Linked DNA regions of Cricetulus griseus. The protein of the gene in region 1 interacts with the protein of each later gene in a pairwise test. Links are inferred from orthologs where the notes say so. Each region holds a gene or a part of one and is shown on either strand. Other genes may lie near its edges.

The links. The genes of interacting proteins can lie anywhere in the genome.
Region 2: the proteins of Fosl1 (region 1) and protein LDOC1-like interact in binary tests that used the Homo sapiens proteins (3 or more experiments, as listed by UniProt). The two-hybrid records come from large-scale screens. The link is inferred for Cricetulus griseus from reciprocal best matches to the Homo sapiens genes FOSL1 and LDOC1.
Region 3: the proteins of Fosl1 (region 1) and Usf1 interact in binary tests that used the Homo sapiens proteins (3 or more experiments, as listed by UniProt). The link is inferred for Cricetulus griseus from reciprocal best matches to the Homo sapiens genes FOSL1 and USF1.

Annotation. Positions count from the first base shown.
Region 1 is NC_048596.1:53,884,863-53,888,153, forward strand, and holds the end of Fosl1 (fos-related antigen 1), read right to left. Parts: intron 2,310-3,291; coding exon 2,202-2,309; intron 1,690-2,201; coding exon 1,261-1,689; 3' UTR 632-1,260; downstream 1-631.
Region 2 is NC_048604.1:11,336,437-11,338,263, forward strand, and holds protein LDOC1-like, read right to left. Parts: upstream 1,098-1,827; coding exon 645-1,097; downstream 1-644. UniProt on the Homo sapiens protein: May have an important role in the development and/or progression of some cancers.
Region 3 is NC_048598.1:21,482,987-21,486,743, forward strand, and holds the start of Usf1 (upstream stimulatory factor 1), read right to left. Parts: upstream 2,819-3,757; 5' UTR 2,664-2,818; intron 2,040-2,663; exon of another isoform or gene 2,008-2,039; intron 1,968-2,007; exon of another isoform or gene 1,790-1,967; intron 1-1,789.

The sequences.
Region 1 (3,291 bases):
TGGTTGGGTGGGGACTAATAAACTGGGAAGAGCAGAGCCCGAAGCCTGGCCAGCCTGTGTCTGGAACTCGCCGTGGTTGGGAAGAGGGCGGAAACCCAAAGACGTGGTGCAATTCCCACCCGGAGGGACTGCAGAACTAAGGGCTGACTCCTCATTACCTGGAGTTTTGGGTGGGATTTAAGACAGTGGTAGAGCACTTACTCCCCCAATGGGCGCCAAGACAGGCCGAAATCCGGCCCCTGAAGTGGCTCTAGCTCCCTTCCAGGCTCCTTCCTGTCCGAAACAATGGGGCAGGAAGCAGGTGTTGGGGGCCTCAAGCCCACTGGCTGCCTGTTCGGAAGGTGGAAGGGTATGACACGGTCCTTCCCTGCCCCCAGTCCTTAAGATAGGAGCAGTGTGATTCCCCATGGGGAAAAACTGATCATCTTGTTTGCTTGCACTCCAGAGCATTCTCAGTCTCTCGAAGTACAGGAGATGAGGCAGAGCAGAGGTAGCCCCATTCTTCAGATGAGAATGTCAAAAGTCCAAAAATATATGATAGTTTCTTCAAGGTCACAGCTGAGACTGGAACCTAGAGCTCCTGTTCGAAACAGTCTCCTTTAGCTTCTGGATCCAACATGACAACTCAGACTAGAGCTTCAAGCCTTTATTCCATTTTGGAAGGTTTGTATAAAAATAGTCTCTTTAGGAAAATAAATAGCAGCTGCCCTTGATGTGGAGGCTTGGATACCCTGGAAGTAGAGGCTTCTCAAAGCTTGGGAGTGCAGCTCAGCTCATCACAGAAGCCACCAGTGCCTCCTGAGTTGTGCCATTCAGGAGGAGCCTGCAGGATGCCCTGTCGCTGCTGGCAGTGGAGCTGTGTGAGTTAGTGTTCTAGTAAAAGGACACCTGTCTGGGTGTAGGGCTGGCTGGATCGTATGAAGAAAGTGACATAGCATGAGAGTGGTCTGCAAGGAAGGGAAAGGGCTCCAAAGGACCACTGGGGATCTACAAAGACTGGGCTGCCAGGATTTCTCTGGCCTAAAGGGGACATATTTTGTCTCTAATTTTGTGCAAATTATGATAGGCCAGCTCTAGAGAAACAATGAGCAGCTTTGGGGACCCCCCCCCAAGCTGGCTCTACATCAAAGCATAATATGTTTGTTCTAATCTGAGAGATAAAGGACCTGCTGGTTTGGAGCATGGTTATGGTCCAGGCCTGCTGGATCAGTGGGGAAAAGGAGGCTGGGGTAGCACCAGCAAGGGGTGTGGTTGGGTGTCTCACAAAGCCAGGAGTGTGGGAGAACCCAGGGGGTCGGAGGAGGGGTCGCCACTGCTGCTGCTACTCTTTCGATGTGCTGAGGAACAAGGTTCTGGTGTGCTAGGGTAGGTGAAAACCAGACTGGGAGTAAAGGGAGTCAGAGACGGTGTGGTCATGAGCGTGGGGGTGTGCAGGGCTTCAGGTTCAAGTACAGGCCCTGGAGAAAGGGAGATACAAGGTACCGGGCGGCAGGGGGCTGGTGGGCTGCCGCCGCCACGGGCGCCAGAGCCGCTGGTGCTGCTGGTACCACCTGTGTCCTTATCTCCTTCTGGGATTTTGCAGATGGGGCGATGGGCTTCCAACACCAGCTCAAGGCGCTCCTTCTGTTTCTGCAGCTCTTCAATCTCTCGCTGCAGGCTCGATTTCTCGTCCTCCAATTTGTCGGTCTCCTTTAGGAGAAATTTAAGAGGGCTAAAGATCTCTAAGCCTCAGGCTGGAGTATGGGGGATGTGCCCTCAAGTCCCCTGCAAGTCCCATGAGACTCTTGGAGAAAATGGGCATGACTCCCATCAGGCCCAGGACTTGCCTACCAACATCTCTGCTTCAAGGCCCAAGACAAATAATTTTTTGTTTTGATTTTTGGGACAGGGTTTCTCTGTGTAACTGCCCACGCTATCCAGGAACTTGCTCTGTAGACCAGGCTGGCCTCGGACACACAGATATCAGCCTGCCTCTGCCTCCCCAGTGCTGGGATCAAAGGCGTGCGCCACCATTGCCCCTGTGGCAAATAATTTTTAACCCAACTGTTCTTATACTTTTCCCAGGACTTCCCCTCAGGCAGGGAGGAAGGTGGAATGTGGAGGAGTAATTTATTGGGTTTCTTGTGCTCCTAGGAACCAAGGTCACTCTTGGGCTTGGTGGGCCCAGGGCCTGGGAACTGTCTGTACCAGCTGATGCTCACCGCCTGCAGGAAGTCTGTCAGTTCCTTTCTTCGGTTTCTGCACTTAGCTGCTGCTAACTTGTTCCTTTCACGCCTCACTCTGCGGCGCTCTTCCTCCTCTGGGCTGATCTAGGTTGAAAGAGAAGAAGCACTGAACTTGCCATCCATCTTGGGGCCTTTCCTTCAGCCTGTCATTTAGGTGCCACCGTTACACAACTGCTGCTCTGTACCAGGCGCTCGTACCTAGCTCCAAGCTAGCTTTACTGCTTGCTGGTTTCTTTCCAGTAATGCTTTCCCACTCCATAAACTTTGACCTTCCTTCCTCTCATCCTTCCTCAGCTTAGGACTAAACTAAGATGTTGAAAGCCTTATTTCCCAGGCATAAGTAGCCTTCCCTCCTGAGTCTACGAGACACGATTATCTTTTTATAGGACCCTCAGCCTTCTCATCTGTGGAAGATGGAATTTCTTCCTTCCCTGAGGAGCTATGAATCATAGGAGGTGCTCATAAGTGTCAAAAGCTATTGGAAATCTACTGTGCCAGCAAAGTACTTCAGAGGATTTTTCTTTTGTTCAGTGCTAGGGATCAAACCCAATGCCCGGTACATCCTAGCTAGGCAAATGCTCTACCACTGAGTTATGCCCCTAGCCCTTAAATAGATTCTTTTTGCTTTTTATAGTTTTTGTATTTTAGATCAGATCTCACTGTGTAGCCCTGGCTTGTCCAGGACCTGCTATGTAGACCAGGCTGGCCTGGAACTCACAAAGATTCACCTGCTTCTGCCTCCCAGGTGTTCGGAGTACAGATATGTGACACCACACCAGGCTTGTTTTGTTTTGTTTTTTTAAAGAGACGAGGTCTCGTGTATCCCAGGCTGGCCTTAAATTCAACATATAGCCCACCTGCAAAATACTAGGATTATAGACTTTTCTCATCACTTCCAGCTTCCCTACACAGATTCTTTTTTGTTGTTTTCTTTTGTTTTTTGAGACAGGGTTTCTCTGCATAGCCATGGCTGTTCTGGAACTCACTCCATAGACCAGACTGTCCTGTAACTCAGAGATCCGCCTGCCTCTGCCTCATAATTCTTTGTGTATATTTTTGTGTGTGC
Region 2 (1,827 bases), on another chromosome or scaffold:
ATACAGGAAACGAAATGTCAACATTTCAACAGTCAGGCAGGCACATCAGGCTCCTGCAGCAATCTGGTCCGGCAGAGGAGGAACCTGGAAGTAGGTACAGAACTAACCAGGCTGTAAGAATGGCCCCTTCTAGGAGGGTTGGTGAACTGTCCAAATGAGAGTCTGAATAGATGTAGCCAACTCCATCATCTTCTTCCTGGTCCATATCTTGAAAAGTGGATGGCTGCAGATGAGATGCAGTGGGGGGTGGTGGTGGGGGGGGGTGAGGTGACAGGCATCCACTTCTGGCAGATGTAGATGGCGATCCATCAGAAGCCAGCGGCAGGAATGCAGGTGGTCTGACGAGTTCTAACACAGGCCTGGACAATGGCTGGAGCTCAAAACACAGTTCAGATTAGAAAGGTGCCCGGATTGGTTAAAATTGAACACTGTGAACCTCAGAGCCAGGCCCAGGCCCAACTCAAGCACTCGTAGCAGGTAATTGGCACAAAGACAAGCACTAAAAGGGATGAAGGAGCGAAGTGATTGGCAGGGAAGAGAATGGCAATGCAAAGGGGGGCACGGAGGCAGCAGGAGTAGCGGTGGGGGTAGGGAGGACGCAGCGTGCAGGGTCCTCCTCATGTAGGCCTAAGGGGGCTCGGGGCCTAGCAATCAACCGCTTCACAGTCGTCGTCATCATCATCATCATCATCTTCGTCGTCATACCAGCCAAAACACTGCTTCATCTCTTCAACAAACGCGCGATAATCACAGAGAATGGCGCTATCTGTCTGGATGTACGGCACCACCCAATCCTCGGCTTTCCCGGAGAGGAGGCTGATCAGGAATGCCACTTTCATGGCGTCGTTGCAGAAGCGGTCCTCATTCACAAGCATGTAGGACATCGTCTGCACAATAAACTCGGGGAGCCGGGCGTTCTCGCCATTAAACGGTGAGGGGAAGGGCACCGGACAGCTGGGCGGACGTACCTGGCGCAGCAGAATGGCCCGCTCACACACCAGCAGCCGCAGCTGTTTCATGAGCCGGTTGTTCTCGATGCACAGGTCGCGGTGTCGCACCAGCAGCGCGTGCAGAAGCAACACCAGCTCGTCCACCATGGTGACTCGCTTGGCAGGTCTCGGGCTCTCGGGCTCGGATCGGCTCCGCGGAGCTGCTCAAGGAGGCCGTAGAGGAAGTGCGTGTCCTCAGAGGAGTGCTGACCCTGGGCACTGCGCAGAGGGGGTCTAGCTGGTGGCGGAAGCTCCACCCACAAGGTCACTCTGGCAGCCAATGCGCCAGCGCACTGCGGTGAGAAAGGCGTGGCGGAGGGGAGTGCTGGTGGCGTGGGGGTGTGGCCAGGGTGGGACTGACGGACCGAGTGGACGTGGCCCAGGAGGAGGAAGGCGTGACCAAGGGAGCATCGCCCCGGGCCTCTGTCAATTCCCCCAGCCTGATGAAGAAACGCTGGGGGAGCCAAGCCTGCCACAGTGGAGGGCTGTGCGAGCATAGAAGCTCAGCACTCAGGGCTGGCCTGCTTCAGCTTAAACTTCTCTGCAGCCGACCTGTTCATCCAATACAGTGTTCCTCGGTGGGCCTGCAGCCATCAACATTTTTTTAGAGTAATGCTTTCTTAACACATTTCCTTGCTTGTTTAAATTTCACCCAGAGAAATAACACTGACACTGAGGGTCATACTGCGGGAGATCATTTGAGTTTAGAGACTTCAAGACTTGCAAGGGGTGCTTTCATTAAATACATAAGTAATTGTCAACAGGGGCTTCTCTTCAGTTGAGACAATTTCACCAAAAGATCTCCAAATCTGCACAGAGTATCCATTTGCCAACATTC
Region 3 (3,757 bases), on another chromosome or scaffold:
AAACCAGACCAATGATTCTTTGCAATGAACACTTGCAAGTAAAGAGATATGGACAAAAAAAGGGGGTATGCTGTGTGACTCACTATGTCACACCTCAGCTTCCTTGATGAGATTTTAAATTATTCCTCCCCCCTTTTTTCTCTGAAATTTTATATTATTTGGGGAGGGGTGCAAAATGGATTTGAAGGGGGCAGGGAAATGAATGGGATCAAAATACTTGATGTAAAAAGATACATAGGATAAATAAAAAGAAAATAAAAACAAGCATAAGATAAGGCCGAATTGTCATAACTAATGTTAAATTTCTGACTCGCCCTGTAGACCAGGCTGGTCTCAAACTCATAGAGATTCACCTGCCTCTGCCTCCCTGAGTGCTGCGATTAAAGGAGTGAGCCACCAACACCCGGCTATAACATTTTTAAAAAGCAACTTTTTAAATAATGTTCTTTACTCCTTATTTATTTATCTATTGGTTGGTTGGTTGGTTTTAGTTTCAACTGGGTGTCTCTGTGTAGCTCTGGATGTCCTGGAACTCACTTGTAGACCAGGCTGGCCTCCAACAGAGATCCTGCCTGCCTCTGCCTCCCTGAGTGTTGGGATTAAAGGCTAGCACTGCCACCGCCTGGCGGCTCCTCCATATTCATTCCACCTCCGAGGGGTAGGAGATAATTATACTAGAAGGCCGAGAAATAGTATGTTTCAAGGTGCATTATTGAAGCAATTATAGAGTATTACTAAAGCTACTATAGTTTCATAGGAATAGTTAGGGTCATGTTTAGGCCACCACTACCAAATAACACCCACCATGGTGCCCTTCTTAGACACAAACTGTACAATAAGAAATTCTAAGCAGGGCGGTGGTGGCAGAGACAGGGGCAAGAGGCAGGCAGATCTCTGAGTTAAAGGCCAGCCTGGTCTACAGAGTGAGTTCCAGGACAGCCAGGACTACACAGAGAAACCTTGTCTTGAAAAACCAAAGAAAGAAATTTTAGTCCTCACCAGGCATTTTGGTCCTTTAGTCCCAGCACTCGGAAGGCAGAGACAGGTGGATCTCTGAATTCCAGGCCAGCCTGGTCTATATACTGAGTTCTAAGACAGCCAGGGGTATATACAGAGAGATCCTGTCTCAAAATAAAACAAAACAATAACAACAAAAAAGAAATTCCAGTCCTCAATCTCAAAAGGGAAAAACTGGAACCCTCTTTTTGCCACTGGAAAACCATCACTAACCACAAAACCTAGATTTGGCTCTTGGGTATGATTCTACTGTCAGGGATCTTGTTTTGGGGGAGTTCAGATTTACAGCATCTGTTACAAACTCTAAAGCCCAAGTGCATCATATTCAAGGCTCCTCTATTTTATTCATCAAGGCTTCCTGTAGAGAAACACAGTTGCTAAAATGTTGCCATGACAACTCCAAATCAACTAAGCCTCAGGAGGAAGGGGGAAAAAATCCAGGCTCGGGGTTCTGAAGGAGAAAAGACAATGGGGGAGGAATCCATCTACAATGTTTCTGCCTTAGGACTCTTGACACCCCGCCAGAGAACAGAAAAACAAAGAACTGAGCAGACAGATGCCTCCAGAAAGAAACAGCTGCACAGTACAAAGCAATAAAATATTCTCAACAAGAAAGGACAAGATTTTTGTAAGTTTTCCACCCATAAAATCCTCCAAACCTTTCTAATCCAAAGAAAATCTTAGTTTAGCGGATAATAAGCCTTGGAAAGCCCGAGAGCAAAGAAAATGGTAACAAAAATAACAACAAAAAGGAACTGAAAGTGAAACTGACCGTCCAAAGTAACGTTGCAAAGGGAGGCAAGCACCAGTGTCTAGGGACCACCTAGGTCTCTATCCTCAAAGGCCAGGAGGAAGAGCCCCTCCGAAGCTTGTTGCATGGCCTGCAGAAGCAGGCAATGAAGAGAAGGCAACGCACAGGAAGCAACTGTATAGCCCACAGCTGTCAGAGCAACTTCGCAGGCCACCCAGCAACGGCGGTAGGCTACTTACTCAAATCTTGGTTATACATCCGGAAGCGTTTCCTGAGCATTTAAGAATATGTGACACGGAAATCAGCATAGGATGTTGTGGTTTGCACGCTCAAAAGGAGGGCCAAGCAAACGCCCTCGTCAAGCACAGACGCAAAAGCAAAAGCAAAAAAAATAAAAAGATCAAGTTCTGAAAGAATCCAGGCGCCAGGACCTTGCCTGAGAACGAGGCGTCTCCCTGCAGGCCCACCAACTAGCGGGAGGCGCTCGGGGAGCTGAGCACCACCCGTCAGGCGCGAGCCCCGAAGCCCACGCGGTGACCCCGTCGGCCCAGCCCCGCTCGCCCCGCTCGCCCGGCTCGCCCGGCTCGCCCCGCGCCCCAGCTGCTCCGCAAAGGAGACAGGGAAGGACGCCGGGGTCCCCCCCCAGGCCTGCGGCTGGCAGCTGCGGCCCGCGGCGGGACACCACGGGAGGGCGGGACGTGTGCACTCCCGGCCGGGGAGCGAGCTCGGCCCACAAAGCAGGGCAGGAGATAAAGAGCCAGGCACGGCCCCCTCCCCCAAAACAAAGGCTTCGAGCCCCGGCGCTGCCTGCCCGGGGGAAATGAAGCAAGGCCAAGCTGCCCCGCCTCGCCGCTCCACCTCGTCCCCAGGCTCCGTCTGGCTCCGACGCACTCACCGACCCGGGCCGCTCCAGTCGCCGATTTCCCCCGGCAGCGTTCTCCCTCTTTGGATCTAGGTCTCTCCATAGACAGCTGCTCATGCGCAATCGCGGCCTGCGGCCATGTTGGTGAGGGGCGGAAGTGTCTCCTCGACCCGCCCTGCCTACCGACCGCCCCGGAACCGCCCCATTTCCGTTCGCTCCAGACTGGGATGCGCGCTAAAGCCGACGTGGGTTTGTGAGTTTTTAGAGGCCCCCAAGAGAAGCGCTGTCCTCGCGGACGTCGCTGGAGTTCTAGCTGTTTGCAGCAAGAACCAGAAACAACAACAACGACAACAAACAAACGACTAAATTTTACTTCCATCTTGGTGCTAGGCGGAGCCTTTTTAGTTCCGCTAAAAGGAAGTAGGGGCCATCTTTAACAAGGGCAATTTGGGAAGCCATCTTGGATCAGGGCATCATTTTGAGGGGTTTCCAGGTGGACACTGGGACATCTCTGGACATATGTAGATCTGGGTTTATTTATGCCTTTGTACTAGCGTCAGACCTCATGTCTTCCAGTTTTTCTGAGGCTCATATGTGACATTTTTGATTACCATTTTTTAATGGTTTTGGAATAGTGAAGTATAAATAGCTAGAATTCATCAGACCCTGATCTCAAATCCACAGCTGACACTTTTCTTGAGACAGGATCACTATGTGGTGTGGTTTTCTTTCTTTTCTTTCTTTTTTTTTTTTTTCAAGACAGGGTTTCTCTGTGGCTTTGGAGGCTGTTCTGGAACTAGCTCTTGTAGACCAGACTGGTCTCGAACTCACAGAGATCCGCCTGCCTCTGCCTCCCGAGTGCTGGGATTAAAGGCGTGTGCCACCACCGCCCGGCGTGGTGTGGTTCTTAACTATCTTATGTAGATCAGGCTGTCCCGGAAGTCACGTAGATTTGCCCCCCCCCAACACACACACAAATTACACACACACACACCCGATACAGCCTCTACCTCCTGAGTGCTAGGATTAAAGGACATGTGCCACCAAGCACCGGAAACTGTCACTTCCTAATTCTGAGATCTTTGATAAGCATTTTCACTTAATTACAGCTTAGTTTCCTCATCTGT